7 linked regions of the Macaca mulatta genome follow. The protein of the gene in region 2 purifies or fractionates together with the protein of the main gene of each other region. This does not show direct contact. Links are inferred from orthologs where the notes say so. Each region holds a gene or a part of one and is shown on either strand. Other genes may lie near its edges.

The links.
Region 1: the proteins of LIN28A (region 2) and LTV1 purify together in Homo sapiens (affinity purification with mass spectrometry; 3 studies listed by BioGRID and IntAct, with this or other methods). This does not show direct contact. The link is inferred for Macaca mulatta from reciprocal best matches to the Homo sapiens genes LIN28A and LTV1.
Region 3: the proteins of LIN28A (region 2) and DDX28 purify together in Homo sapiens (co-immunoprecipitation; 3 studies listed by BioGRID and IntAct, with this or other methods). This does not show direct contact. The link is inferred for Macaca mulatta from reciprocal best matches to the Homo sapiens genes LIN28A and DDX28.
Region 4: the proteins of LIN28A (region 2) and DDX50 purify together in Homo sapiens (affinity purification with mass spectrometry; 3 studies listed by BioGRID and IntAct, with this or other methods). This does not show direct contact. The link is inferred for Macaca mulatta from reciprocal best matches to the Homo sapiens genes LIN28A and DDX50.
Region 5: the proteins of LIN28A (region 2) and C8H8orf33 purify together in Homo sapiens (co-immunoprecipitation; 3 studies listed by BioGRID and IntAct, with this or other methods). This does not show direct contact. The link is inferred for Macaca mulatta from reciprocal best matches to the Homo sapiens genes LIN28A and C8orf33.
Region 6: the proteins of LIN28A (region 2) and LARP1 purify together in Homo sapiens (affinity purification with mass spectrometry; 5 studies listed by BioGRID and IntAct, with this or other methods). This does not show direct contact. The link is inferred for Macaca mulatta from reciprocal best matches to the Homo sapiens genes LIN28A and LARP1.
Region 7: the proteins of LIN28A (region 2) and SSB purify together in Homo sapiens (affinity purification with mass spectrometry; 3 studies listed by BioGRID and IntAct, with this or other methods). This does not show direct contact. The link is inferred for Macaca mulatta from reciprocal best matches to the Homo sapiens genes LIN28A and SSB.

What each region holds. Positions count from the first base shown.
Region 1 is NC_133409.1:49,122,485-49,126,535, reverse strand, and holds part of LTV1 (protein LTV1 homolog), read right to left. Parts: intron 3,944-4,051; coding exon 3,688-3,943; intron 1,275-3,687; coding exon 1,147-1,274; intron 1-1,146. UniProt on the Homo sapiens protein: Essential for ribosome biogenesis.
Region 2 is NC_133406.1:214,577,929-214,581,979, forward strand, and holds part of LIN28A (protein lin-28 homolog A), read right to left. Parts: intron 3,269-4,051; coding exon 3,084-3,268; intron 2,020-3,083; coding exon 1,803-2,019; 3' UTR 1-1,802. UniProt on the Homo sapiens protein: RNA-binding protein that inhibits processing of pre-let-7 miRNAs and regulates translation of mRNAs that control developmental timing, pluripotency and metabolism.
Region 3 is NC_133425.1:63,592,009-63,596,251, forward strand, and holds DDX28 (putative ATP-dependent RNA helicase DDX28), read right to left. Parts: upstream 2,858-4,243; 5' UTR 2,825-2,857; coding exon 1,184-2,824; 3' UTR 919-1,183; downstream 1-918. Other genes in the region: DUS2 (tRNA-dihydrouridine(20) synthase [NAD(P)+]-like), read left to right, coding at 3,099-3,242. UniProt on the Homo sapiens protein: Plays an essential role in facilitating the proper assembly of the mitochondrial large ribosomal subunit and its helicase activity is essential for this function. May be involved in RNA processing or transport. Has RNA and Mg(2+)-dependent ATPase activity.
Region 4 is NC_133414.1:80,734,497-80,738,547, forward strand, and holds part of DDX50 (ATP-dependent RNA helicase DDX50), read right to left. Parts: intron 1,854-4,051; exon of another isoform or gene 1,742-1,853; intron 1,374-1,741; coding exon 1,077-1,373; intron 1-1,076. UniProt on the Homo sapiens protein: ATP-dependent RNA helicase that may play a role in various aspects of RNA metabolism including pre-mRNA splicing or ribosomal RNA production.
Region 5 is NC_133413.1:155,451,629-155,456,100, forward strand, and holds C8H8orf33 (UPF0488 protein C8orf33), read left to right. Parts: upstream 1-1,928; 5' UTR 1,929-1,951; coding exon 1,952-1,957; intron 1,958-2,045; coding exon 2,046-2,396; intron 2,397-2,523; coding exon 2,524-2,608; intron 2,609-2,757; coding exon 2,758-2,904; intron 2,905-3,475; coding exon 3,476-3,615; 3' UTR 3,616-3,880; downstream 3,881-4,472.
Region 6 is NC_133411.1:163,621,876-163,626,426, forward strand, and holds the start of LARP1 (la-related protein 1), read left to right. Parts: upstream 1-1,537; 5' UTR 1,538-1,985; coding exon 1,986-2,421; intron 2,422-2,692; exon of another isoform or gene 2,693-2,832; intron 2,833-3,376; exon of another isoform or gene 3,377-3,513; intron 3,514-4,551. UniProt on the Homo sapiens protein: RNA-binding protein that regulates the translation of specific target mRNA species downstream of the mTORC1 complex, in function of growth signals and nutrient availability.
Region 7 is NC_133417.1:74,728,016-74,732,504, reverse strand, and holds the end of SSB (lupus La protein), read right to left. Parts: intron 4,431-4,489; coding exon 4,359-4,430; intron 4,050-4,358; coding exon 4,007-4,049; intron 2,352-4,006; coding exon 2,211-2,351; intron 1,783-2,210; coding exon 1,596-1,782; intron 1,457-1,595; coding exon 1,325-1,456; intron 983-1,324; coding exon 894-982; 3' UTR 829-893; coding exon of another isoform or gene 790-828; 3' UTR 587-789; downstream 1-586. Other genes in the region: rRNA N(6)-adenosine-methyltransferase METTL5, read left to right, coding at 143-192, 790-828. UniProt on the Homo sapiens protein: Binds to the 3' poly(U) terminus of nascent RNA polymerase III transcripts, protecting them from exonuclease digestion and facilitating their folding and maturation.

The sequences.
Region 1 (4,051 bases), on a different chromosome or scaffold from region 2:
CAGTGAGTTTTGGATATTCACTTAGCTGATAGGAAGGTAACATCTAGCTGTGTCTTTCCAAGGCAGCTTCCTAAGAAAACAGGTTTTTAAAGCCTAAAAAAGCATAACTCATCTGTCTCTGCGAAGTATTCAAATATTTTACTCAAACTATACAGCTCCTTGTCCTGCTATGGGATCTATATATTATAGTGATCATGGAACATCAGACCTTTCTAGCAGATTTGAACACTTCATCAGTTTCTCTCAGAGGAGAGTCACCTTGATGTGGATGCTGATTTGCCAAAATAACCAGCTGGTCAGTTCCTCTAATCTAGCTGGAGAGACAAATTCTTATCTTTCCACGAGATGTAAATACCTACTTCTCAAAACACCTGGCATTTCAGAAAGATGAAAAGAGCATATACTTGGAATAATTCTTCAGCCCAAAGACTAGAAATATCATCTTATTTCCCAAGGGGAATGTGTCCCTTTATTTCTTTAACTTGTAAGCAAAATAAAAGTAAAAAAAATTTAAAATGGGCTGGGCGCGGTGGCTCACGCCTATAATCCCAGCACTTTGGGAGGCCGAGGCGGGCATATTACATGGGGTTGAGTTTGAGACCAGCCTGGCCAACATGGTGGAACCCTGTCTCTACTAAAAATACAAAAATTAGCTGGGCATGGCGGCATGCCCCTGTAATCACATCGGCTCAGGAGCTGAGGCAGGAGAATCACCTGAACCTAGGAGGTGGAGGTTGCAGGTGAGCTGAGATCACACCACTACATTCCAGCCTGGGCAACAGAGCAAGACTCCATCTCAAAAAAAAAAAAAAATTAAAAAACGAAACACATTCTACCACGACTCTTCTCAAGTCAAAGGTACGGAAAAAGTGGCTCCTCGTATATTCCCATTACATTCTACTTCAGAATGCTTAACACCAAAATGTAGGCAAAACAGATGAGCTATACATGAGCCAAAGTTTATGGAAAATGTACCACTTTCTTTTCTCCCCCCTCCTATCTTTTTTTTTCCTTTTTCATTTTCTTAATATGGATTTTGACTAGGTTAATTTTTTCCTCAATTCAGTTATACTATAGACCTTTCTTTGGAATTTTTTCTTTTTTAAAAAAAAGAACAGATAAACAAGGAAAGAAAAGTCACTGTACTTCTCTGCCTTTTCTTTATAGTAGTCATTCAAAACTTCCTGTAAGCGATTGCTGTCCACTTGAATAGAACCTTCCAATTCTGCATTATCCAGAGCTCCAATTTCATCATCATCATATTGCTCATAAAACTTGAATATAAACGGAGAAAAGATAACATGAAAAGCAAATGTACTCAGTAAGACTACATATTTAAAATTTTTTTTACATTAATTTTATTCTTACACAATAGTTATTTAGGTACTATCACAATTACCATTAAAATATTAGTAGGGATTTAATGCAATAGGATGTGGAAGATATTTCTGCTCAGTACTTTAAGACTTACATTTAGACTAAAAATAGGCTTCCATTTAACATGTAAAGAAAGGCATTATTCTACTTAGCTTGGAGAACAAAATGCTAGGCAGCACAGATTACATCAAAACATTTTTTAAGATACTTTTTCTTTTCTTTTTTTTTTTTAAATATCTCACTGTCTCCAAGCCTGGAGTACAGTGGCGCGACCATAGTTCACTGCAGCCTCAAACTCTCAGGCTCAAGTGATCCTCCCTCCTCAGCCTCTGAAGCATTGGGACCACAGGCACATGCCACCACACCCAGCTATTTTATTTATTTTTGTTAATAGAAACAGGCTCTGCATTGCTCAAGACGGTCTCAAACTCCTGGGTTCAAGTGATCCACCTGTTTCGGCCTCCCACAGTTCTGGGATTATAGGCATGGGCCACTATGCCCAGCCTGAAGATATTTTCAAATTCCTTAGTTACGCAAACTAAAAGATTGTGCAACTGAAAATTCTCCCACTAATGTACATATTTCGTTCTTGTCTAGACAATAATTATTATATTATGCAAATGGTGTTGACACTGTTAAGCTTTGACAAAGAGTAAATGGGGGGGATATATCTCCTGAAGTGTGAGACGTGTAGCAACAATTTGCTTCTCCCTCAAGAGAGGAGGGAAAATAGTATTAGCTGACAAGGTAGCAAGGTAAGAGCCTTTATTTTAGATTCACCTTGAAGGAAACTATTCCTTCATTCATTTATCATTTATGGAACACTTTAAACTTCTACTACATGCCAAGACACCATTTTAGGCTTTTGGATGTATCCGTGAGCAAAATACAAAAAACTCTGTCCTTGGGGAATTCACATTCTAATCTGAGACAAATCTATATGACACACACAATAAAGAAGCACAACATTAGACATGATGTTAGGAGGTGTTATGTGCTACAGAACAACAGGATAGGTGGGATTAAAAGTCTTATAAACAGTCTATAGGTTGGGATCACAAACCCTGGAGCTAATCTGTTACAACAGAACCAAATACAGTATATGAAAATTCAAACTTTCAAAAGCGTCTTATACTCTACTTCCATTATGTTCCTCAGTGTTAGTTATGTCTGAAAACTCCAGATGAGAAATGGAAAGAAATGGAATTTTGATGTGCTCAATGAGGCCAATACTTCAGAAATACAACATCTTACGGATTACTGTTGGAGAAATTGAGAATCAGGATGTCAGAATTCAAGGGGGACAATAAGAATGTTTGATCAGCCAACTCCTTTTGACCTATACACGTTCTTTCCAGAATCAAAACTAGGGTGACTGGCCTCACAGAGTGTGTAAAGGGAAAACAACAATAAGTAGGGTGCTTTTATGCTCTGTTTTAATAAAGAGATACGTTGTTTTCAACACTCAAAAGTTTTAGCTTTGGGTCCCAATCTCTCTTTTTAAAAAAATTTAAAAAACAAAAAGCAAGGCACACAGCAAGGCGCCTAACATCTACTTAGCTCACAGGCGGATTGGCTGACTTGGCCAGAGGATGGTCCAGCTTCCAGATCCACCTCAACCCACTTGGCTTCATCAAGGTCCTCTACTGGATTGCTTCTATCTTTAGATTCACCTTGAAGGAAACTATTCCTTCATACATTTATCATTTATGGAACACTTTAAACTTCTACTACATGCCAAGACACCAGTTTAGGATTTTGGATGTATCCGTGAGCAAAATACAAAAAACTCTCTGTCCTTGGGGAATTCACATTCTAATCTGAGACAAATCTATATGACACACACAATAAAGAAGCACAACATTAGACATGATGGGGGTTTTCAGGACCACTTCTTGGGGGTTTTAAGGGCCAAATAGAAACTCAAGTGAGTTGTCCTACCACAGTTACTGAGAATAAAACGATTACAACTACTTTTGGTTATCCATTCAGGTTGAATGAGACATCATTTGGGCCACCTCCAGGTGTAAGCGTGTGATATAAATTGGAAAAGTCACATCCTCCTAGGCGATTACTCTTCTTCTGCACAGTTCTATGCTCCCTTTCCAGTCTTTGTGCTCCTGTACTGCACTGATAACCTTCTGCTTTATGCTGGCTACATGAACCTATAGCTGGATAGTTGTAAATTTCCTATGATTGACTTTGTGGTTGGTGAGCACTTCAACCTGGGCTAAAGTTGACAGGTATTAAAAAATATATATATATATATCATAAGATAGTACTAAAGCATCCCTTATTTGGGGACCTTACCTTCTCAAACCTCTCATCATGTAGGGTCAGCTGTTCATTTCTCCTCATGACTGAGGAAGTCATCGAATACTCGGTGAAGCGACTTTTTGTTTCCTCACTCCAGAACAAGTGATCTGCTATAGCTCTGTGGGTTTTTCTGGGCACAGACATACGATCTTCATCTGACAATAGGCCTGCAGAGTCATAGTCATCACTGCTATCTCCCTTCTCATCATCCACATCTTCCCACTCGCTGTCATCTTCATTCTCAGATTTCCTAAAGTAAAGGTCACAAATTACCTACCAAAACAACTTAAAAAGTAACAGAACAAAATCACTTTACACAAGTAAAACCGGAAGGTATTGCAGGAAAGGTTCTTGTCTA
Region 2 (4,051 bases):
AGATCTTTTTGCCTGGTGCAGAACCTTCTGTCAAAGATGCTTTGGCTATTTTTCTCTCAATACAAAAAGAAGTTTGTAAACAAAACCCCCAAAGAACACGGAGAAAGACCAATACATTATATTTACACAAACTAGGCCACCTAGCAATCAACTTAGTGAAGTCCTATAAAGCCCAGACAAATACAATAACTAGAGGGGGGGCAGCATTTAGGGGAGACAAGAACCCAGGAAGAGACACACACCACCCAATGCGTTCTATTGCATTTGTCCCGTTTCAACACAGTGAGGTAGGTTTGCGGTGATCTCACAGCATGTAAACGAAACCCCCTTTTTCTCCTTTAGCTACCATGACACTATTAATCACTACTGCAGCAGGGCAGGACACAGGCCCCAGGCACCACAAAGCCCTCACTTGTGTGTCTCCCTGGAACCCGAGAATTTTGACAGGTTAAGAATCTTAGACCTTACTTCATATATCCATCCTTGGACAGCACAGGATTAAGTACAGGGGTATTGGTCTTAAAACTTATCCTTGGCAACTGCAGTTTTACAAACACACACACACCCTGTGGTGCATGGTAGGCCTAGCCTTATCTGGTGAAGAATGGATCTGGAGATGTAAAACACGTCCTGTGCCCTAGGATTAGACAACCCTCACCTAATCTTGGCTTGCTCTCTGGGCCTTTCACTTGGCCCAGCCTCTGCTAGCCTCTGTACCACCATTTCCTGTTTAGACTAATTCCCAATCTTCCAGTAGGAGGCAATCAAGTCATGGGGCAACCCAGTTAAAACCTAGTCTCCCATAAAACATTTTCAAGGCAGAGGGGGTTTCAAGAGGACACTATGGCAGAAAAGCCAGCTCTTATTGGCAAAAATGAGGTAGTTCAATAGGCTGTGCACTCCAAATAGTTGCTCTCCATGGTGGCAAAAACAACAAAAAGTATTCCTGCTGCGCAGACCTGGAGCTGCTGCCGGCTTATCCCTGAGATTGCTCATGTACCTGAGAACACAGTGCAGGAAATGAGGGCCTTAGATTAAAATATACAAAAATACAAAACCAGAATATTTATATTAAGGGAAAAAAAGGTTAAAATGCACAAGATACGTCATTCGCACACAGCTAGTGCAGTTGGCATCCTGGAGAAAGTGGGATCCAAGGTGCAGTATCCAAGGGAGCAAATAAATAAAATCACATTGGCTCAGAATGGGGCAGGAGTGAGCACAGGAGCAGCAGGTCTGCAGCTGTTCCCCCAAACACCCTTTTTGCCATCATCATTACCCATTGCTTGGGACAGTTGCCAGCACCCTATCCCAAAAGTGGGTATGAGGATACAAGATGTGAAAAAAAAAAAAAAAAACACTGCTTACTCCTGAGAGATTCCCTTCCACAGAATGTAGTGGCTTGTCTCCATGAATCTGGTCTTATACTTAATCATTTCACTCTGGCATGGGAATTATTATATATCCTTCTTTAAAAGGAAAACAACTTCCCTATCCAGGCCACTTTCAAAAGCTGGAAATTCTGGGAATGGAGCCTCAGATAAAGTATGCAGGTTGCAGGGTGATTCCCCCATCCTGGTTGCCCCCAGAACCCTCACTTGCATTTGGACAGAGCGTGATTGGAGTTCCTTTGACTCACCCTTTCCCCCCACCTAGAGGAAAGAAAGGGTGATGGTGTGAATCCCAGCCTGAGATACATGGCAGTGCCAACTAGCCCCAATGCACCCTATTCCCACTTTCTCCACTCTGCCTGCTCCTCAAAACTTCCTGATAGCAAAAGAATAGCCCCCACCCATTGTGGCTCAATTCTGCGCCTCCGGGAGCAGGGCAGGGCTGTGAATTTCTTCTTCTTCCTCCCGAAAGTAGGTTGGCTTTCCCTGTGCACTAGGGCCCTGCTGGGCCTTCAGCGGACATGAGGCTACCATATGGCTGATGCTCTGGCAGAAGTGGCACTTCTTGGGCTGGGGTGGCAGCTTGCATTCCTTGGCATGATGGTCTAGACCTCCACAGTTGTAGCACCTAGTACAAAGCAAGATGGTAAAAGTAAGAGAAAGGAGCAAGAAGAGGCCAGATGATTCCCATGAATGAGGACACCTTGGCTGTGGTACAGGTTTGTCACTTACTTCCCTTCCCAGAGACCAAACTTCCCACTTACAAAAGGAGGACTATTACTAAATGATCTCTTAAGTCCTTTCCACATCTAATTGTCTAGGTGATCTCTTCAGATTCATGTCAACTTGAAAATACCAAGACACCAGAAATAGAAGTTACTGACCCCAACTGGGAACTGCAACTTGGAGGATAGGAGAGATTCTTCCATACCCTTAATATAAGAGAAATTAAAGAAGCCAAATTATAGTATCTGTTCAGAGCTAAGGGGCTTTAAGACCAAACAAGATGGCCGGGCGCGGTGGCTCAAGCCTGTAATCCCAGCACTTTGGGAGGCCGAGACGGGCGGATCACGAGGTCAGGAGATCGAGACCATCCTGGCTAACACGGTGAAACCCCGTCTCTACTAAAAAATACAAAAAACTAGCCGGGCGAGGTGGTGGGCGCCTGTAGTCCCAGCTACTTGGGAGGCTGAGGCAGGAGAATGGCGTAAACCTGGGAGGCGGAGCTTGCAGTGAGCTGAGATCCGGCCACTGCACTTCAGCCCGGGCGACAGAGCGAGACTCCGTCTCAAAAAAAAAAAAAAAGACCAAACAAGATTAAGGAAACCCGCCATTTGCAGACCTGGTAAAGCAACAACAGATACAGATAATACTATCTTGTCGCATCATTTGCAAATCCATGATTTCCTTTAATTCTAAAACCATCCTAGGATGTTAGTATCACTGGCCTCACTTAACAATTGAGGCTAGAGCCCACAGAGCAAACTTACTTGTCCCAAGTAGAAGCACTAAGTCACCCCCAGTGCCCTCCTCACCTACTGCCCTTGCCCACACCTATTGCAGGCACTCAGCCTTCCAGATGCTGCCAGGGACCACAGGCTTCCCTTCGTGTTTTGCTGTGTGACCCAAAACTGACAGGATTGGGAGACTGGGGATGCTCCAGCAACCTAAAAGCTGCCTTCCAGTCCATACCTGTCTCCTTTTGATCTGCGCTTCTGCATGTTCTTCCCTTTTGGCCGCCTCTCACTCCCAATACAGAACACCCCACCAGGTCCGGTGACACGGATGGATTCCAGACCCTTGGCTGACTTCTTAAAGGTGAACTCCACTGCCTCACCCTCCTTCAAGCTCCGGAACCCCTCCATGTGCAGTTTACTCTGGTGAAGGGAAATAACATTAGTTTCCATTATTACACCGAAAGACCAGGAGCACTTATTCCTGTAGGGCAGGAATCAAATGTGATGGTACTCCTATTTTACTGGTAAGGAAACTGACTCAGAGTCACTACAATTACGAACAACAAAAGTCTACCAGTACATTAACAAAAATCATAATTATATAAGCAGATGCCATGATATTTTATAGCTATTAAATTAAGAATTTAAAGTTCTTAATAAAATAGAACAGAGGGCCTGGCACGGTGGCTCACACCTATAATCCCAGCACTTTGCGAGGCCGAGACGGGTGGATCACCTGAGGTCAGGAGTTCGAGACCAGCTTGGCCAACATGGTGAAACACCATCTCTACTAAAAATAAAAAAAATTAGCCAGGCATGGTGGTAGGCACCTGTAATCCCAGCTACTTGGGAGGCTGAGGCAGGAGAATTGCTTGAACCCAGAAAGCGGAGGTTGCAGTGAGCCAAGATCATGCTACTGCATTCCAGCCTGGGCAACAGAGTGAGACTTTGTCTCAAAAAACAAAACAAACAAAGAGAAAAATTTCTACATATAAGCATTTGGAAGAAATCAACAAATATAAAATTACGAAATTTGAGGTGTCAAGCTATAGAGGTTGCAGTGAGCCGAGATGGCACCTTTGTACTCCAGCCTGGGCAACACAGCAAGACTTTGTCTCAAAAATAAATAAATAGATAAATAAATAAATAAAATACAATAAAAATAGCTGGGCATGGTAGCTCAGCTGCGTGCAGTGGCTTACG
Region 3 (4,243 bases), on a different chromosome or scaffold from region 2:
AAACTTTAGAGAGCTTAATCCCATCTGGAGTGGGGCTCAGGATTGTTTTTTTTTTTTTTTTGAGACAGGGTATTGGCTCTGTCACCCAGGCTGGAGTGCAGAGGTGCAATCTTGGCTCACCGAAACCTCCGCCTCCCGGGTTCAAGCCATTCTTGCGCCTCAGCCCCCCAAGTAGTTGGGATTTCAGGTGTGCACCACCACATTCAGCTAATTTTTTTTTGTATTTTTAGTAGAGATAGGGTTTTGCCATGTTTGCCAGGCTGGTCTTAAACTCCTGATCTTAAGTGATCCTTCCGCCTCAGCCTCCCAAAGTGCTGGGATTACAGGTGTGAGCCACCACACCCGGCTTTTTTCTTTTGAGATAAGAGTCTTGCTCTGTCCCCCAGGCTGGAGTGTAGTGGTATGATCTTGGCTCACTGCACCCTCCGCCTCCCAGGTTCAAGTGACTCTCCTGCCTCAGCCTCCCGAGTAGCTGGGACTACAGGCACGTGCCACCATGCCGGGTTAATTTTTATAATTTTTTTGTATATATATATATTAAAAAAATGCTATATGGTTATCTTGCCAGTTTTGTAAAACAGTTTAATCATCTCTCCTCTTTCTCGGCCACTGAGTTGGGATAGAAGTACAAGCAAAACTTCTGTGTTAGTCTACCCTTTACTTTCCTGCCGGTACCTTCCAGAGAGATTTCGCCAAGATGCCCGTTTGTCTTGAGCGCTGTTAGTGAAGAACTCTGTCTACTGCTGGTCATAGTTCCTTTCCTTTCCCTGGGGGCTTAATGGATACCTTTTTGGGGGCAGGAAATAAAAACTCAATGTTTATAAATTAAAACATCAACTGAAAGAGCCTTTGTCCTAGATGTGGCAGTCTGGGGTATGAATCCTCAGAAACTACTGAATTCCACTCCAGTGCTAAATATTCTTAGGGGAGGCACATAAAAACATCATTTATTATTAGAAATCATGACATGATACAAAGTCAAAATCCACTTGTGTCTTGTGAAAGACTACAGAAAGCCATGCTCAGCAGCTTCTTCTCCAATGCTGGCTAGCATCTTACCTTTCCAAGTCACATGGCAGTTCATCCTACCCTCAAGGAGCTGACGGCAGCCCACAGCCTCCCACTTACAAGTGTGATCACCCACTCAAGATACTGGGAAATATCCCTGTTCTAGCATCACATTTTAATCAGATTTGTCAAAATCAGGTTGCTGCGGCAAAGGCTCTTTCACCGAGGATACTAGTCCTGGAAGACTTCTCCTTCGGCGAGCCGCCAGCTCAATCTTCTGAACCAGGCTCACATCCCAGGGATGGGTCACAAAACTGATGACGGTGCCTGGAACCTCGCTCCCCACACGGCCCACTCTCCCTGCTCTGTGGATGTAATCTTGCAGCGTTGGGGGGAAATCATAATTGACAACCAGCTCCACACCGGTGCTGTCCAGGCCCCGAGAGGCTATGTCTGTGCAGAGAAGTATGTCTCGGGAGCTCTTCTGGAAGGACTGGAAGATTCCTGCCCTCATTAAGGCCGGCATTTGCCCCTGCAACCTTAGGTGTTGGATTTTGTGATCATCCAGAATATATCCCAGCCAGTTCACAGTGCTGGAGCTATTACAGAACACCAGAACAGTTCCTGAGGGGCCAGTCCTTTCTGCTCTGTTATGATGCTTGAGAATGTGCACCAGCTCGGCTACCTTATCTGCTCCCTTCAGTCTCAGAAATGTCTGTTTCACATGAGGCATGATACAGTGGAGATTGGAGCTGGTGATGGTGGTGACAGCATCTGGGCTGGCGACTTTATCCAGCAACTGGCCTACACCTTCGGGAAATGTGGCTCCTACCAGCACTAACTGAGCTTTGGGATTGAAGCGGTCTTCCAAGTCAGCTGGGCCGTCTGCTATGTGGCTCTTCTCTAAGATGCAGTCCACCAGTTCCAGGAAGCTTTCATCCAGCAGTGTGTCTGCCTCATCCAACACCAAGAACGAGAGTTGCTCCAGACTAATCAGTCGACTTTTCAGGGCCTTCCACAGAGCCCCTGGAGTGGCCACTAGCACATCTGCTGAAGGTTGTCTGGCCAATTGCATCCTGATCCTACACATGCCGTGGCCTCCCTCCAGGTCCCGCACCAGCAGGCCCAAGGAGCGGCCCAAGGGTTGGGCCACAGCCTGCACCTGTTGGGCCAGTTCTCGGGAAGGAACAAGGACTAGGCCTCGGGGAGCGGGGATACGAAGGGAGTCCAGGCTTGGCTGGACCATGAGCCGTTGAAACAGCGGCAGGAGGTAGCTGAGAGTCTTGCCACTGCCGGTTTCTGCGGCGCAAAGGACGTGGCGGCCGCGAAGTAGTTGGGGGATGGTGTTAGACTGCACGGTTGTGGGCTGAACGACTTCAGGCGCAACCTCCTGTAGTGCGTGCAGCACACGGGGCTCCAGGCCCAGGTCAGCAAAGTTGCCCTCAGACGAGAGCTTTTGCACAGCTGGCGCCTCCTGTTGCGCTCGCTCGATGGAGAAGTGGTCCCGACGCGCGCGTCGACTCTTCCAGCCTTGAGAGGCTAGCGGCGCGCTCTCCCAACGACCCAGTGTGAGGCGCGCCGGCTGGTTGAACTCCGGCCGCCGCGCCGAGACCAGCAGCCGTCCAGGTCGAACCAGCACCGGCCTCGGGAGGTTCCGCTGCCTGCTCTGCCGTTGTTCCAACTGCCGCTGTAGAGCCACTGGAATACGCACCACCGGCAGGGGTTCGTCGGGACTGCGGACCGTGAGACCTCGTCGGGGCGCCAGGATCAACCGAGCCACGAGGGAAAAGAGCCTCACTGGCCGCGATAGAGCCATGTTTCCCTTAGTGCGGCAGAAGCGCACACAAGTGACGTCACGGACGCGCCGCGACCTCGCGTACGGTGGCTGGCGAGGCTCAGTACATTGTACGGAGCTGCAGCACCGTGAGGAAGAAGGGAAGTTCTCCTTAAGAGTTCAGCTGCGAGGTCTGTAGCTCGGAATAGGGGATGGCGACATCCAGACCCGGCCAGCCTTGGGGAAGGGTGCGTCGTGGTGGCAGGACTGGAGGCTGGCGATACGAGGCGGCAGTGGGGCCTTGACCCAATGGATCATGAGGGCGGAGGGCTTCTGGCGATTGGTTACCTGGTTCCTGGGATTCTCTTTAGTTGTTCCTTATTGCCCAGAGATAGCTTGTCCCGTGCTGGTCTCCGAGGTTGCAGCTGTTTTCCCAGATGTGTTCCCTGCGCAGGGTCTGGTAATCCTTTTTTATTGAGAATTTGAATGAATGGTCAGGCCTAGGGGCCGAGACAGGGGTGTGAAATCGTAGATCTGGTCTCAACCCCTCACGCTCCCTGTCTGAAAGCCCAGAGTGCAAGCTGATGGCTTTCAGCTGCTTCTCTCTCTCAAGTGGGAGGTGAGGTCTTCAGGCTTTATTTCAAGCTGGGTCATCTCTTCTTCACAGTTATTTTCCTTACTTTTCAGCCAAGATTCACTCTCTACTCCTTCGTCACCCATCCCAACTTCTCATCCTGAACCCACCCCTCTTGCAGCCCGCTCAGCTCCGCTGGTTTCCCGGTCAGAAACCTATATTGCCTAAATAGTAGTAAGAAGGGTGCTGCGACCCTGCGAAATGAGCAGGTACGTAGCTTATCATGTAGCCCTGGTCAGGCAGAATATTTTACCTGAATTCAGATATTCGGGTTGTAAAAACAAGAACTATATGAGTCACCTTTTTTTTTTGTCCTGAGACACAGTCTCGTTCTGTCACCCAGGCTGGAGTGCAGTGGCGCGATCTCGGCTCACTGCAACCTCCGCCTCCGGGGTTCAAGCGATTCTCCTGCCTCTGCCTCCCGAGTAGCAGAGACTACAGGCATGCACCACCCACTCCCGGCTAATTTTTTCTATTTTTAGTAGAGGCAGGGTTTCACCATGTTGGCCTCGCTGGTCTGGAACTCCTGGCCTCAAGTGATCTTCCCACCTCGACCTCCCAAAGTGATGGGATTACAAGCGTGAGCCACCATGCCCAACAGACACTTCTTGAACAGATCTGGAAAATAGGTGTCAGATATTTTCTGTAATCCGCAGTGCCTGGGGTGGGAGATAAGGTAAATGTTTATGGGTTAACTCTGGGAGGTTCGTAACATCTGGAGAAAGCGTTTTAGTTTCATCAAATACCACTGAAAAGATAAAAACTGCTTTTTTTTGGAATAGTATGAGGAAAAACTTTTACAATTTTAAGTACACTCTACCCTTGTG
Region 4 (4,051 bases), on a different chromosome or scaffold from region 2:
TTATTTAAACCAATTGTCTACTATCAGACATTTAGGATGTTTAAATATTTGCTATTATCAACAATATTACTGTGATAAGAGTACTTATTCATAAAGCTCTGCACACCTCTTGATCATCTCCTTAGGATAAATTCCTTTAAGTAGAATTCCTAAACTCTCATGTGATCTAAACAAAATAATAAACTCTTAAACCTATTATAATACAGATTTTACCAAGCAAAATCCCATCAAAGCGAGAAGCAAGCCATACATTCCACTGTTAGCAATACAGATTTAAAGGACCTTATTTAGATCAACAAACACATGTGCTTCCTGACAAACAGCAAATTCACAAATTAAAAAAAAAAAGTCAAAAGTCATAAGACAAGGATTCAACATCTTTTCCCAATGCTCCCCAAAGATTAGGCATTAAGCTCAAATGTGTATCAGCAATTATCATATTTAAAGAATATAAAGAATTACTAATTATCAGCCTGGGGTAGTGGCTCACACCTGTAATCCCAGTACTTTCGGGAGCCGAGGCAGGTGGATCACTTTGAGGTCAGGAGTTCAAGACCAGCCTAACCAACATGGAGAAACACCATCTCTACTAAAAATACAAAAATTAGCCAGGAATGGTGGTGCGTGCCTGTAATCTCAGCAACTTGAGAGGCTGAGTCAGGAGAATCGCTTGAACCCAGGAGGCAGAGGTTGCCATGAGCCGAGATTGTGCCATTTCACTCCAGCCTGGGGAACAGAGTGAGCCTCTGACTCAAAAATAAAAAAAGAAAAAAGAAAGAAAAGCAATTCAAGTAGGTGACCATCAAGCAATTCAGAATAACTTTAGGAACCCAAATGTACAGAAAAGGTTTAAATTTGACTATTTCTCCCATCAGGCCCCAAGAAAAAAGTCATACAATGAAATAAACAAGGGCCAAAGGAAAAAAGACTCAGACTTCACCTGTACAGACTCTCTAATGTAACTAAAAGTAAGTACTAAACACTAATCAAGAAATATTATATAATTATAATTAGCCTAAAAAAATCAACCTATAGTTAAAGTATAATGTCAAATGCAAAATAAAAAGCATCCATACCTCCTCTAGTTTATTATCACTTGATTTATGAGTAGAACTATCTAAGGATGATACTCGCTTTGATTTTTTTTCATATTCATCAATATCTCCATTTGGTAGATCTTTTCTTCTTGACTTATGAGATTTAGAGAATTCATCTGAAAGTCTATTAAATCCTTCTTCAGTGTCTCCATTTAGCTTCTCTTTCATTTTAGTTTTTTTGGCCTTGGGAGCATCCAGGTCATCTGTAACACCATTTTCTCTTGTTTCTGATTTCTCATCTGAGTCATAATGGTGCCTTGACTTCCTTCTGTCACTCTGTGAACAAAGAAAGTAGCAATGACAAGATGGTCAGAGGTTTTCTTTTAAGACTCTAGAGAAGTTAGCGTATGACTCCCCCACCAGTTCAGTTCAATCTACAGTTACTTTGAAAACCTACCTGGTAAAAATCCAGACTGGTTACTAATGCCAAGCTCTAAGCCTCGACTATTGCTATCTTTCTCATCCCATTCCTCATTCTCAAGGCTCATCCTCTAGCCCCTCTCTAATCCCTTCATAAGATTTAAGGAAAATTAAAACGGTTTCTCCTTAAGGAAAGAAAGACAACTCCAGAATTATAAATATTAAACAAACAAAAACTTGCAACATTTCCAAGAGAAAAAAATTAATACTTATTGAATACCTACCCAGCACTGTGTAATGTGTTTTCAGCTTATCTTGTTTAAATCTTCATAACAACCCTATAAGGGAAGTACAGGTCCATAATCCCTTATCCGAAATTGCGATATCCATAAAGCTCTGAAAACCGAAAGTTTTTTTGTAACTTATTTGGAGGCAAAACCTTACCTGAACTCATTTGATGGCAAAATTTAACTTGAACTAATGTGAGGCTCTTTATAGTCTTTATTTATCCCACTTAGTATGACTACTCATATTTAATATTAAGGTGTTTGATTACAGGTTCTGGGCCCCAAACCCTACCTGGGTGTTATCCTTCTAAAAATCCCCAGAATTCTGAATTCCAAAATACAACTAGTTCCAAGGATTTTGGATAAGGGATAGTGAACCTGTATTACCTTTGCCATTTTATTTATTTATTTTTGAGATAGAGTTTTGCTCTGTCACCCAGGCTGGAGGGCAGTGGCGCAATCTTGGCTCACTGCAACCTCCGCCTCCCAGGTTCAAGTGATTCTCCTGCCTCTCAGCCTCCCAAGTAGCTGGGACAACAGGCGTACACCACCACCAGTAGAGATGGGGTTTCATCACGTTGGCCAGACTGGTCTCAAACTCCTGACCTCAGGTGATCCACCCGCTTCGGCCTCCCAAAGTGCTGGGATTACAGGCGAGAGCCACTGCGCCCAGCCACCTTTGCCATTTTATAGACAAGGAAACAGAAGCTCTAAGAGGTTAAGCAACTTGCCAAAGATCCACATGTGGGATTTCCCGCAGCTCTAAGTACTAGAAATTGAATCTAGCACTGCCTGACTTGAAAGCCCATTCTCTTTTCACATTATACTTCCTCCCTGTACTTTGACAATTCACAGGTTAAAGGAAAACGAAACAAAACTATATAATTCATACAGAAGTCCAATTGTTATACCTCCATGGAAGGACAGTAATCCCTGGAATTTTTTTTTACTTTTTTAATTTAGTTAAAGAAAAAAAAAAAGCACTATTCTGCAACTTCAATTTTAAAATGCCAAACTACTGGTCAGTGTTGTGATATTTACAGAACACAAGAAAGGATTTGGGAATTTAGGACTTTAGCCTGGTGGCTAGCTGCGGTGGCTCACGCCTATAATCCCAGCACTTTGGGAGGCAGAGGTTGGGTGGATCACCTGTGGTCAGGAGTTCGAGACCAGCCTGGCCAACATGGTGAAACCCCATCTCTACTAAAAATACAAAAATTAGCTGGGTGTTGTGGCACACGCCTGTAATCTCAGCCACTCTCAAAAAAATTAATTACCCGGTCAAATGTTCAAAACAGATAGCAGTGACTAGGGACAGTAAAAACTACCACCACCAAAATGTTCACCATAACTTACACAACTTTTAGAGTTCTTTCACATATAATTTTCTCATCCATAAAATTGGAATTGCTGTGAGAATTGATCAATATTTGTGAAAATGCTTTGCAGTTACACATTACATCATCTGATTGATCTACAGTTAACTGCACTAGCCCATATCTTTCCAAACCAATAGGTTCTACAGAAAAACAAGATTATTTATAGAGTCAGCCTTGGGGCTTGAATTGCTCCTGGGCCCTGCACTTCAGGGAGAAGTTGAAGCAAGGCAAAGTGAAACCTCTCGGTCCAAGCCCAGTAACATCTCAAGGTGATTAAATATATTATTCCACTTTAGACCCACAATGCTTGGCACTCTCCGTTTACTTGGTTTCAGTTACACTTTATATTCCCTTCTTACCTCTATCTTCTTACCTCTACCACATATCTTCTTCAATGTTCCTCTCCTTCCTCCTCCAGTGGATGCTCCTTGAGTATCTGTTCTCTATGTTCACTTTTATTACTATTTTCATGGCTCAACACGTACTTCCAGACTCCCTTCCTCACCTACATTCCAATTCTAAGAATCTAAGGACCAGCTCCATATCTCAACACATCCAAACCAAAGTTATCTTCATCTCAATACCAGACCACTATTCGTTTTTGTTTTATTTTGTTTTCTGAGACAGGTCTTACTCCATCTCCCAGGCTGGAGTGCAGTGGCTCAATCATGGTTCACTGTAGCCTCAACCTCCCTGGCTCAAGTGATCCTCCCACCTCAGCCTCCTGAGTAGCTGAGTCTACAGGCACGCGCTACAACGGCGGCTAATTTTTTTTTTCTTTCTTGAGACAGAGTTTCGCTTTTGTTGCCCAGACTGGAGTGCAATGGTGTGATCGTGGCTCTCTGCAACCTCTGCCTCCTGGATTCAAGCGATTCTCCTGTCTTAGCATCCCGAGTAGATGGGATTAACAGGCGCCTGCCACCATGCC
Region 5 (4,472 bases), on a different chromosome or scaffold from region 2:
GGAAGAAGCAGTTCTAGACCAGTCAACTGAGACAGAGAAAGGCCCTTTGGGAGCTGGAGTGCACTCCCTACTCAAACCTCCAGTCTCCTGGGACGAAAATGCACACCAAACTGTGCTGGTTTTAAAATGTCTAAAAAGTCTTCCTCCCTTCAAAAGGTGAAGCAACTTCATGAGAGGCTATGATCTAGAACCACCCAGCTACACTGTTGCTAGATTCCTGACCCTCAGAATAGTATGAGATAATATGTGTTGTTTTCAATCCGCTGATTTTTTTTTTTTTTGAGACGGAGTCTCGCTCTGTTGCCCAGGCTGGAGTGCAGTGACTTGATCTCAGCTCACTGCAAGTTCCGCCTCCCGGGTTCACGCCATTCCTGCCTTAGCCTCCAGAGTAGCCAGGACTACAGGTGCACGCTGCCACACCCGGCTAATTTTTTTGTTTTTTTTTTTAGTAGATACGGGGTTTCACCGTGTTAGCCAGGATGGTCTCTATCCCCTGACCTCGTGATCCGCCCACCTCGGCCTCCCAAAGTGCTGAGATTACAGGCGTGAGCCACCGCGCCCGGCCAATCTGCTGAATTTTGGGGGTAATCTGCCACACTGCAGTAAATAACTACCAGCGATGACCAAACTTTTACCCTTCCAGACCTTGCAGACCAGGCAGCTAACACTTCCCATCCCACGGTCTCAGGAAACACCACTTTCCACTCCTGTGTCCCCGACAGGAATCATCAGACAAGTCGAACTCTCACCTTCTCAAGCAACACAACCCACCCTCCTGGCCTAGCCCACTCCTGAAGCCTCACTCAGTCTCACCTCAGCCCCTACGCAATTCCTCTCGGTTGTCAGGCCTCCATCGGCGGGGGTCGAGTGTTGTGTGTGACCCCAGGTCTCCAGCAAGGTATAGTGGGAGGGAAGCATCCGGGAGAAGAGAGGTGGATTGGGCTCTCCCTCTCCCCCATACCGCCACCCTCCCTCACGCCCATATCCTGTCCAAGGCTCTTCCCGCGTCTGCTTCTGAAATCCCTCCACATCCCTCCACCCCATGTGCCCCACTCGTTGCACAGGAGCAGAGAGAACCGCAGAACACACGTCTACGATTATGCCACTCTTCAGATTTACATCTTGCAGCAACTTCCCACTGCGTTAGAACGGAAGTAAACCTCCCAACTCACAGACCTCACCCGAGCCCCCACGTCCCGCGTCGCCGGCCTCTCAACCGACGGTGCCCTGATCCTCTCGGAGCGAGCGCCGCGGGCTGCGCCGGGTCCCAGGCCTGCGCCTCTTCCCCATTTCCCAGGGGTCTTTGCCGACCACCCTCCTGCGCCACAGCTGCTCAAGTTCTGTTTACTTGCTTTTCCCTCCCCACCAAAAGGTGAGCCTTGAGAAGACACACCCTTGTGTAGAGCTTTGAACTTTTATCCGGAAAGGTGCCGGGCACATAGTCGGTGCCCGGGAGCACTTGCTCACAAGGTTCCTTCCGAGACCGCCCTGCAGCCTCTTTCCGGATCCCCCAGGCACCCCCGACCCCGGCCTCGCCCCACCCTACCCTCGCCCCAGCCCCGCCCTGCCCTCGCCCCAGCCCCCCCCTGCCCTCGCCCCAGCCCCGCCCCGACCCTGTCTCAGCTTCGCCTCGGCTTCATCCCGCCCCAGCCTCGCCCAGCCCCTCCTCTCCCCTCCCCGCCCGTCCCCTTCCCGCCCCCGCCCCGCCTAGCCCCGCCCCAGCCCCGTCCCAGCTTCGCCTGAGCCAGGTCCCAGCCCCGTCCCACCATCGCCGCGCCCCAGCTTCATCCCGCCCCAGCCTCGCCCCTTCCTCTCAGGGCCCCCGCGCCCCGCCCCGCCCCGCCCCGCCCCGCCCGCGACCCTGCGGAACCTAGAGTCGCAGGCGCCCTCTTGGAGGACGGAATTCGACGTCGGACTCCGCCTCGCGTAGTTCCGGTGGCGACTGCGGAGCATGGCGGTGAGCGGTGTGGAGAAGACGCGCGGGTGGCTGGGCGTCGCACTGTCGGTGGCCCTCCGTGACCCTCGTGCTGCCCCCCTTTCTCCAGGCCCTAGGACATCTTGCCGGGGAGGCAGCGGCGGCCCCAGGCCCGGGTACTCCCTGCGCGTCCCGCAGACACCGGCTTCCCGGCCTGGTTTCCAGCGTCCGGAATCCCTCCACTGTCTGTCTCTGCCCAGGGCAACCCACGAGCAGTAACGCCGACACCAGAGCGCACCCGTTAGGCGATGAAGGCAGTGCAGCGTCGAAAAAACAAAAGAATAAGAAGAAAACCCGGAACAGGGCCTCTGTGGCAAATGGAGGCGAGAAGGCCTCAGAGAAACCCGCCCCAGAAGAAGTGCCCCTAAGCGCTGAGGCCCAGGCAAGGGCGGGCGTCATTCAGGAAGGGTGGAATCCCCTAGTGCGAATCCACGGGCACATGTGATCTGGGGTCCGCAGAGTTAAGGCGGGGAGGGGGATGGGATGGGGCCAGGCGCAGTTTTGTGTCCCAGTGCCCTCTCACAGCCACTTCCCCAAATCCCTCACAGGCGCAGCAGTTGGCCCAGGAATTGGCTTGGTGTGTGGAACAACTGGAGCTTGGCCTCAAGAGGCAGAAACCCACCCCAAAACAGAGTAAGGGACCTTTCTATAGAGTTGGGGAATGTGAACAGTGGCACCGCCTGGCCTGCAGGTGCTGGCAGAGGTGAAGTTGTTTCCTTTGCGGTGGGGCGGTAGGAGGTCAGTAGTAGAGGTTTTCACTAGTCCTTTGTTTTTATTCGCAGAAGAGCAGGCTATTGGAGCAATCCGAACCCTGCGCAGCAAAAGAACGCCCCTGCCCCGGAAGAGGCAGTTGATGCACTCCTTGTTTGGAGACTATAGGGCTCAGATGGAAGCCGAATGGCGTGAGGCCCTGCGGGCTCTCAGATCTGGTGAGGAGCTAGTAACTGGTTGATTTAGGAAGGCCTAATTTAAGGAGGAAGTGCCTAGGGGGTGAAAGGAAGAAGGCCCAGAGCAACAAGGCTGGTGGGGGAAGGAGATGAGCTCAGGGAAGCCTGAGGGAACAGGGAAAGAGTAAGGATGGACCTGTCTCTCCTTTTCCCAGGACTGAACCTGGGAAGCAGCGGGGAGGTCATGGGAGGAGCGGGAAAGAGTGTGACCCTGTGTTGGTCCTGCTCCTGGCTTGGGGAAAGCTGCGTTATGTCTTTGTGTCTTGGCTCTCTCTACTGGCAACGAAGCCATATCCCATAACAGTTTGAGTGCAATTCCTGGAGCCAGATGAGCTAGGTTCAAATCCTGGATCTACCACATAGTAGTACTAACACCTTTTGCAAACTACTGAACCTCTCTAAATGGGCGGTGATAGTAATATCAACCTTACAAATTTGAGGAATTAGTTAATTTATTCAAAGTGGTTAGAATTGTATGGGCAAACATAACTGTACAGGTAATGTTAGCTGTTGTTATTCAGTTCTCACATACGCTGCTTCTCTCCCCTGACAGCTGCTTATTTAGCCCAGGTGCAGCCTGTAGATGGAGCCACCAGAAAGAAGAGCCGAAGGGTCTGCAGGCCTCGCCCTATAGGGCGAGCCAAAGCCACTCTGGACACTCCTGATGAAGAGTTTAGGTTCAATTTCTTTTAGCTTCTCCCCTGACCTGGAACATTCCCCCTCCCTTGGGGTGGTGTAGGGGTTTGTTTTGAGTGCAGAGCCTTTTCAGGACTTCTGTTGGGAGAGAACCCTGGGGTTGGTCTGTCCCTGGCTGGTCCAAGTATTTGGAGCTGTTGTGAAGGTGTGAGACCATCAGATAGGCAAAAGACCCCATTTGTTTTGTGATGAAATGTTCTCTCTTTCAGAACAGAGAGAGAGGTGCGTTTAGAAAATGTACAATAAATTGAAGTGACTGTTTGAAGTATTGTAGAAAGAATATTGTACTCAGTCTTTAGGATTAGATTAAGTGGCTGTTGGTAACAAAGATTAGTGGAGAAGCTATATAATTATACACTGTTTTTCACTTTTGAAAGGAATTCCTGTCAAATGGTTTAGTGCTTAATGCTGTTATGTCACATTGCCCTAGTCTTTATTTTTGATAAAATTGGATAACGAGTGAAAGAGTGTGCTGACCAGCTGTGTTAGAGGAAGTACAGAAGACGGCAGGGGTCTGGTTCCCTGGGTCCAGTCCCTTGCCTCGATCCTTTGTCCATGTTGCCTTCATTCCTGAGCAGGTGTCATCCTCAGGGAACCAGCATGGCAGCCACCAGGCATGGCTGTCTTCTCAGGAGGAAGGAGCTTCTTGCCCTAACAGTTCTGGCCTGAGACCTGGATTGAGCCTCGGCATGTTGGAACCGAACTGTTGATTCCCTCCTGGGCAGGGGTTGCCGCGAAGGATTACCGACACGAGATTCACAGCAGAGAGTTATCTATTACTAGCGCGCTAGGGTCCCAAGCTCTAAGTTGGCCCTGGGACCCCGACTGCTTGTTACAGGTTGTTTATATAGGCA
Region 6 (4,551 bases), on a different chromosome or scaffold from region 2:
GTATTACCCGGCTATCCCTACCAGTACTTCTCCCCTATACAGGTTACAACAATCCTACAGCTCAGCCTTGCTGGCTGGGGCAGTTCCAAGAGGCTTTTCATTCAGTCTTCTCCTAGATCCAGCAGGTTGTGTGCTCTAATTCTTGTTTTGGAGATGGCCAACATTCCAGGCTGTTATGTTATGTGAGCACGTGGGATCACAGCCAGTCAGAAGCCAGGACTTCTCTAAGTGAAGTCATAAGCACCAAAGGGATCTTGCTAGACACGCAGATTTCTAGGTCCAGTCCCAGACCGAGCCTGATTCCTAATACTTTGGCATGTGCGTTCAAAGAAGTCTTCCCTTATCACCCAAACAAAAGTAGCCCATCTAGTTTAACTGATTACCACAGTTTAACTATTTTCATAGATACTAGACAATAATTTGTTTATCACTTTTTTATTGTCTCTTTCCCCACCTTAGAATAAATTCCATGAGGATAGGGACTTCGTTAGCCTGGTTTATACCAAACCCGTTTCCTAGAACCCTGCAAGGCCCCCACAGTACGAGGTCAGTAAGTATTTATTGACTAGAATGTACATTGAAGTTTGAAACTGCTGTCATACGTTGTTCCTTCATTTTACAATAGTGAAACTGAGGCCCACGAAGCTGGAAGTCACTGCTGCAGATGGTAAGGGGCAGGGCCAGGATAAAATCTCAGATCTCAGAAGTCCCAATCCAGGGATGGTTCAACTCCGCCCAAAGCAATTCTTGAGGAAAAAAACGACATCCACTTAAAAGAAAAGACATTTTCTGCCCATAAATACAAGGTTTCGCGGTGGGGAGAAGGGCCTGGTCTGGGTGAGGGCTTTGGTAATTCCGTTCCCACTTCCTAGGCGCCCGCTGCCCTCAAGGGCTAAGGAATCGCCTTCCAGGCCCGGAGTCGAACCCATCTCCGGGTAGCGTCGGGGCCAGGCCCGGCGGCGGCGAAGCGCGGAGCACAACCCGCTGAGGTGCGGACGGCTCACCCAACCAAGGTCACCCGGGCGGGGACCGAAGGGGCTAGGCCAGCCGCGCACAGGGGAAGGGGCAGCGTTGGTGCGTCCTCGGGACGGATGAGGGTCCTCCTTCGGTCTCCCGGAAGTCAGGAATGACATTAATGGATCCTTCCCCTGAATCTGACACCCAGCCTAAAGAGCGCGGGCAGGCCCTGCCGCCCGCGTGGCCCGGTCCCATGTGCTCCACCTGAAGCCGCTCTCACGCGCTGGCCCTTTAAGACACCTCCCCTCCTCGCCCAGCCTTCTCTCCTATCCCCCTCAGCGCCCCCACCTACAACTCCCGAATTGCATCAGGCACGTGCTCGCCCCCGTCCGGTCTGAGTGTCCCTACCCCCAGCCCGGGAGGTGCTCTGAGGAATCGGAGACGAGGGGCGGGGCGAGGGGCAGGACCGCGGAGCCGTGCGCGCGCGCTCCCGCCGCCTCCTGCCCGCCCGTCGCCCAGGGCCCGGCCGGCGGGCGCGCCCCCGCTGCGCCGTCCCCCCTCGCCCGCCGCGTCGTGAGGCGCGCGCCCGCCCGCCGCCTGCCGCGGATCGCGTGGTCTGCTCGGCTCGCCGCGCCTCTCCCCCGTCCGTCCATATTGCTGCAGCCCCCGAGCCGGGAAGCCCGGGCCGCCCCGGGGGCGGGGGGGAGGGAGGGACGGGACTAGAAGCCTGCTGGGCTCGGGGTGGGGGCGTCTTGCGAGGAACGGGCGGGGGGGGACGCACGCCAAGGAGGCCTGGACCGCAGAGTGGGGGGCCTTCCTCCCCCCCCGCCCCGCTAGTGGGCCTCGGATTTACGGCGGCTGCATCTAACTGGGAGGGGGCCGCACCTCGCGTGAACCCCGACCCTTCTCCGCAGGGACTGGGGCCCGGCGCCCCGGAGGAAGGCGTCGCGGGCGCTGTGCTAGCCAAGTTCGAGGCGGGGGAGGCAGCTTCGGGCGCGCCCGGCTTCTCCGGGGGGGCGGGCGCGCAGATGGCCACTCAGGTGGAGCCGCTCCTGCCTGGGGGCGCCCCGCTCTTGCAGGCCGAAGAGCACGGGGGGCTGGTGAGGAAGAAGCCGCCGCCGGCGCCCGAGGGCAAGGGCGAGCCCGGGGCAAACGACGTCCGCGGGGGGGAGCCGGACAGCGGCGCTCGGAGACCCCGGCCGCCCTGCGCCAAGCCGCTCAAGGAGGGCACCGGGCAGCAGGAGCGCGAGAGCCCGCGGCCGCTGCAGCTGCCCGGCGCCGAAGGCCCGGCCGTCAGCGACGGGGAGGAGGGCGGCGGCGAGCCAGGCGCTGGCGGAGGAGCTGCCGGAGCCGCGGGCGCGGGGCGCCGGGACTTCGTGGAAGCCCCCCCGCCCAAGGTGAACCCGTGGACTAAGAACGCATTGCAGCCGGTCCTGACCACCGTGAACGGACAGTCCCCCCCAGGTGGGTTTCCCTCCTCGCCCTCCTGGGCCCGGGGGCCTCTTCCGGGGACATGGGAGTCCCCTCCCCCAGCACCTCCAGGGCCCCGGGGTCCGCTACCGGTCATGGTGACTCGGGACTTTTTTAAATTGCCTCCTGGTTGATCCTGGTCGCCGCGCCCTCCCCCAACCGCACACTCAGGGATCTGCCCCTGCCCGAGGACCCGGCCTCCGGGAGGCTGCGGCCACCGCCTGGGCCTCAGCGGTTAGTGGGCAACGGTGTGATCCGGGCCTACCTCGTCGGCAGAGGGTGGGCGCTGGTTTCAGTGAAACGATCCCCACCGCATGCTGGTGTAGGAGACGGTTTCTGGTTTGAACCTTCCTTGGGAAGCCCCTCTTCCCACCCCGCCCGGCGCTCCCCGTTTTGGTAGCGTTGCGAGCGTCCCCATGTTGTAAATGTTTAGTGAGCATATGTCATGGGCAACCCAGTGCCCGGCGCGGAGTACATGCCGGCCGCACGGATTCGGGGATTAAAAGTTAACAAGTTTTGTTCTCGGGGAGATGATCTTGGGCGGTAGAATCGCCATTTGGAGACGGGTTGAAGGGTTAGTTATGGAGAGAAGAAACCCATCGTGCTACCGAATTCGGTGGTTTCCCTCCCCGATCCCGGGCACCTTCCGCCTTAACAAGGAGCCGGACGGCGAGTGTGCTGGGGGAGCCAGTTAGGAGGTTGGCGGAAAATGTGAGGCGGGTGAGGGGCCTGCGGCGACTTGAGGGGCGTGTGGCGGCGGGGGAGGGAGTGGCCCGGCTGGGCGGGCGGGTGACAGTTGGGCGCCATGCGCCGCGCCGGCGTCCCGCGGGTCGCTCGGCCTCGGCGTTCGGCGCGGGCCGCGGCGCTGGGGGTGGCAGGCGGGTGCGGGCCCGCGGCGCCGAGTGTGCGTGTGCGCGGCGCGGGTGTGTGCGCGTCCCCCCTTCCCGGCATTCCTCTGCAGCCGGGACAACGTGGTGCCTCCCCGCGCGGGGAGCGGCATGTGACTGCCGACCGGCGCTCCGCGAGTCCTCCCTCTCCCTCCTCCGCGTTTTGGTCCTTTTGGACCGTGCCCCTTTCCAGGGGGAGGTAAGGGTTGCAGGAAATCCCAGCAGAGCCGTGTCAGCGTGGGGAGAGAGGCGGTGCAGAATATGGAGTCTGCTCCTGGGCTGCCTTTGCCGAGAATAGATCGTCTGCTTGGATGGGGGGGGCGCGCCCACTCTTCCCTCGGCCGGCGCATAGGGCGGGTCTCCATTCTTTGGTTTTGGGTCCGTTTGAGGTGGGTCGGTTTGAAACTGTCTTGTAGTTAGAATGATGGCCTCTGGTCGTAGCCCTGGTGCTTTTAAAAAAAACTCCTCTCCTGCCGTAGCTGATTGAGGCTAACTGGTTTAAACCATTGAAAATAAAGGGGGTGCTTAATGCCTTTACAGTCAAAGAAGTAGAAGCACTGCTAGTCCTAGGGAAGCCAGAATAGCCAGTCCTGAAAACAGCATGTTGCAATTTTTATTTCTTTTCAGGTTGCTTCATTTGGAGGAGAGGACATTGGGGGTTTACTAACAGTCCCTCAAACTGTGTTCTCTTCCTTCTCCCCTCCTTCCCTTCCCCCCTTTCCCTTCCAGAGCCCTCTTATGCAAAAGACAGTGCAGAAACCTCCGTTTTCTTTCACATCCCTCCTATCCACCTACAGAATGAGGGAAAACAACTTTAGAACACTCTTTGGTCCTTCTCCACTCTTTAAACTCAAAAGGGTATAATCATCCGCGGGAGAGAGCACTCCTTTTAAATGGGGCTACTCATCCTGGCTGCTGCTTGGCTAATGGTGAACCTGCCTTGTGGGTTTTAAATCAGCCATGACATCAGGTGGTATTGGGTGCCTGAGCTGGCATTTTGTGTAAGTCCAGGAGCCCTTGATAGTGTGCGTCACTGGGGTTATTGATCGTGGGAAGAAGACAGCTTGGCTGGCATCTCACCTTTTTCTCTGAGTGGAGAAGCTGACTTGCTTTAATTGCCCAAAGCAAAATTCTCAGTAAGGGTAGATTTGCTCTGTTATTGTTTTTTGGAATCTTAAGGTAAGAGAGTGTCTACTCATTGGTTTAGAACCTTTGGAATAGGTTTTGACAGCCTAAC
Region 7 (4,489 bases), on a different chromosome or scaffold from region 2:
GGATAAGTTAAAGGTTCTAAAATGTTCAGTTTACCAGCACTTAATACTTGTCTTAGTTTTTTTTTGTTGTTGTTGTTGTTTAGTCAAGGGTGGTAAATGCTTGGAAATATAATTTTATCCTTAGGTGGCTTTTGTTTTACAGAGCTTCGATATGACCTGCCAGCATCATACAAGTTTCATAAAAAGAAATCAGTAAGTCTCTTGATTTTGGCTGGTCTACATTCGGTATTGAAAAGTTTTCTGGGCCGGACGTGGTGGCTCATGCCTGTAATCCCAGCTACTCGGGAGGCTGAGGCAAGAGAATCGCTTGAACTCAGGAGGCGGAGGTTGCAGTGAGCTGAGATTGCCCCACTACACTTCAGCCTGTGCAACAGAGTGAGAGTCAGTCTCAAAAAAGAAAAAGGAAAAAAAAAGAAAAGCTTTATGACAAGTAATTATTTCTAGTGTTATCAACTTTCCTGTGTAAATATAGAAAGACAGCCTAGGAGACACCATAAATGGCCTGTGGGAAGGGCCCATGGTCAACAGCTAATATTCTAGTTCTTTATTAAATGCTCTGGGTACAAAAAGAAAAAAAAAAAAACTGTTTTTGCTCTTTTCATATAGCATATATTTTATTAGTTTGTACTAATACATTCTCATATTACAAAGGCAATTTAATGGAAGAATCTTCCTTTTGATATTTGAACATCTGAAATAACACAAACAGAACTATACATTCAAAGAAATCTCATTTGCATAACAAAAAGACAAGTTAAACAACAACAAAAAATTTTTCCTTTCTCACAGGTGGACATTGAAGTGGACCTAATTCGGTTTTCCTTTTAAAAGCCCCCGCAAACAAAAGTAGTTTAAAACCTATTTAAAATGAATAAAAAAATTGGTTTACTAAACTACTGGTCTCCAGCACCATTTTCTGTTTTCTGTTGTTTGGATGCAGGTTCTTCTTTGTCTGTTTCTTCTCTTGCTCTTTTCACAGGTCCTATAACGTAACAATTAATTTTTGTTAAATTCAACGTAAGTACTGCTCTATTTTAATACTGAGTACAATTACTAATAATGATACTGTTGAAAAAGATGCAACAACTTCCTTGCACCAATGAGAAAAGGCTTTTCTCTTAGTACAGACCTGACCTCTAGATTCATCTTCCAAATATCCTGTCCCTGACTTATACAACAGCATAACCAAGGTAAATCATAATAATCCAAGACTGGCACTTATCCAGAAGTTGAAAAGCCAAATCCCTATTCTCTGGCAAATCATTTATTTATGGAAGTACAAATTTTCTCATGAAACTACCAAAGGACTTAGGAAAAAACTTACCAGTTGCACCATTTTCATCATGTTCATCATCACTAGCAAATTTCGTTTTCTTGCCCTGAAACTGTACTTTTCCTTTACCAGACCCAGGCTGGGCAGCTTTATTACCCTTTCCTTTTCCTTTAAATCTACGACCTGTAGAGACACAATTGAGCACTCTGTAAAGAATTTTTTTTTAAGTCTCTTGTCAATGTTTTTGAACACTGATTAAAGTTTTTGCTCAAGTAAATGGGTTCAACAACCAAACTGTTAAAGAAAAATCAGAATAAATGACCTTTTGACTTCCATTTGTTTAGGGATTCCTGTTGGTCTTCTATTATTTTTTTCAGTGCTTCTTTTTCCACCTCTCCTTCTAGTACTTCCCAAGTCACTTCTTTGTTCCTTAATTGTAGGTTACCGTTATTTGCATCTTTGGCTTTACCCAAAGCTTCCTTGGCTTTTTCTTTAAATAGAATTATCCCCTATATCAGAGACAGAAAACAAAAGCCATACCCTTAGTTTTTTAGTCCCACAATTAATTTCTTTGTTCAAAGTAATTTTTTCTACCCTGCAAACCTTCCATGCCTTTACCAGTTTCAATGAACTTTACTGAACAGTAGAAAAGGAATGCTACAGAAGTAAAACTGCAATAATCAATATGAACAGTTATTCATAGTATAATTCAGAAACTATCCGACATCACATATAGTGACAATAACAACAAAGTAAACGATCAAGTAGAAACTAGTATAATTCAGAAAATATCAGACATCACATCTAGTGACAATAACAACAAATGATCAAGTAGAAACTAATAAACACAATTTTAAAAATTGCTTTCTACTAATTTTGTCTAAGTTTCTACAGATTTTCAAACTGACTGCTAAAAAGCATAGGAATGTTTCCAAACCTCTTTTGCTCCTCTGACGAAGTCTATCCATTTTATTTCACCATGATTTGAGAAAAGTATGTGTAAATCTTCTCTACAGGTCTGATCATCTAAATCACCTGAAAATTTCAGCAAGCATCCAATCTTTTCTTCTAGAGATTTCTATAAAAATATACAAAGCGATCAAAAAGTTTCTTAAAAGCAACAACAGACCATAAATGACTGACACCACATTATAGCTATACAAGAGCCTAGAAACCAAAATGCTATTTTAAAGTAGTTTCTCTTGCCTAGGCAGCAAGAGCGAAACTCCATCTCAAAAAAATAATAATAATAAATAAATAAAGCAGTTTCATAGTGTTGGTGTTTTCCTTTGTCATCCTTTATCCCAAAATGGCTTTCAATATTATTTGATCTCTTATACAACTGGCATTTAGTTATAAACTACATAAAATCTGGTTATTAAACTATCTTGGAAAATAATTCCAGGCAGTATTTATCATACTTTAAAAATTTTTTAGGCCAGTTGCAGTGGCTCATGCCTGTAATCCTAGCACTTTGGGAGGCCGAGGTAGGCGGATCACAAGGTCAGGAGATGGAGACCATCCTGGCTAACATGGTGAAACCCCGTCTCTACTAAAAAAAAATATACAAAAAATTAGCTGGGCATAGTGGCGGGTGCCTGTAGTCGCAGCTACTCAGGAGTCTGAGGCAGGAGAATGGGGTGAACCCAGGAGACGGAGCTTGCAGTGAGCCCAGATCGCGCCACTACACTCCAGCCTGGGCGACAAAGCAAGACGTCTCAAAAAAAGAAAAAAAAAATTTTTTTTTAAAGAGTCATTATTATTTTCCCCAAATAAAAAATTTTACCTGTAACTTTCTAAATGGAAATACACATCACTATCTTATTAAGTCAAAAATAGCTGGGCGCGGTGGCTCAAGCCTGTAATCCCAGCACTTTGGGAGGCCAAGACGGGCGGATCACGAGGTCAGGAGATCGAGACCATCCTGGCTAACACGGTGAAACCCCGTCTCTACTAAAAAATACAAAAAATTAGCCGGGCGAGGTGGCGGGCGCCTGTAGTCCCAGCTACTTGGGAGGCCGAGGCAGGAGAAGGGCGTGAACCCGGGAGGCGGAGCTTGCAGTGAGCTGAGATCTGGCCACTGCACTCCAGCCTGGGCAACAGAGCGAGACTCTGTCTCAAAAAAAAAAAAAAAAGTATTAATCTATGATTAGAATCTTTAGAAGTTATAGGAGGACATTTTCTCATAAACATAAGTTCTAGGCATAAATGAACTTTTTCTGAATATTTCAAAATATATTTTCCTGTGTTTTATTATATTCTTTATTTTTAGACAGGGTCTCACTCTGTCACCCAGGCTGGAGTGCAGTGGCATGATCTTGGTTCACTGCAACCTCCACTTCCTGGGTTCAAGTGATTCTCCTGCCTCAGCCTCCCGAGTAGCTGGCATTACAGGCATACACCACCACGCCTGGCTAATTTCTGTATTTTTAGTAGAGGCGGGATTTCACCATATTGGCCAGGCTGGTCTCGAACTCCCAACCTCAGGTGATCCACCCACCTTGGCCTCCTAAAGTGCTGGGAATACAGGCGTGGGCCACTGCACCCGGCCTTTTCGTATTTTAGAACATATTTCCTATCCTTAGTGTTCTCTTTTCCCTCAATATAATACCTGTGCAATGACAACTATAGATAGCTTTGCTTACATATTTTCTTGAAAAAGTCCTCAGACTTAAAAGCTATTCATTTAACTATGAATTACAGATATACTAGATAGCAGTAATATATACTTACCATTTCAGCATCTTCTTCTAACTTTTGTTTTGCTTCTTGCTCTCTACAAATAAAAATATCATAATTATAACATACTTCCATTTACTATATAAGAAAATTAAGTCCTAATAAAGTTAACCAATCATGATCACTAAACTTACTTAACCAAAGCCAGAAGTCCTTAGGTTTTTTTGATCGTCCAATGCTAGACTGCAATGCAATTTGGCCCCGAAATTGTCAAGGCAGCTTAAGATCGCAATGTTTCACTAGCAAAGAGAAAGGTCTACTGCCACTATTTCAGAGCTCACCAACTATATTTCTGTCAGAGCATTAAGGAATTCAAAGTATGTCATGATTAGTTCAACATACTTACTGTTTAGCTCTTAATTTAGCTTCCACTTTGTTTTGTTTTCTTTCTTCATTTTTTTTGGCAAAGTAATCATCCCTAAAGAACACACAGTACAGAGGCTAAGTTCACGAGAACAAAGTTAAGACCGCAGATTA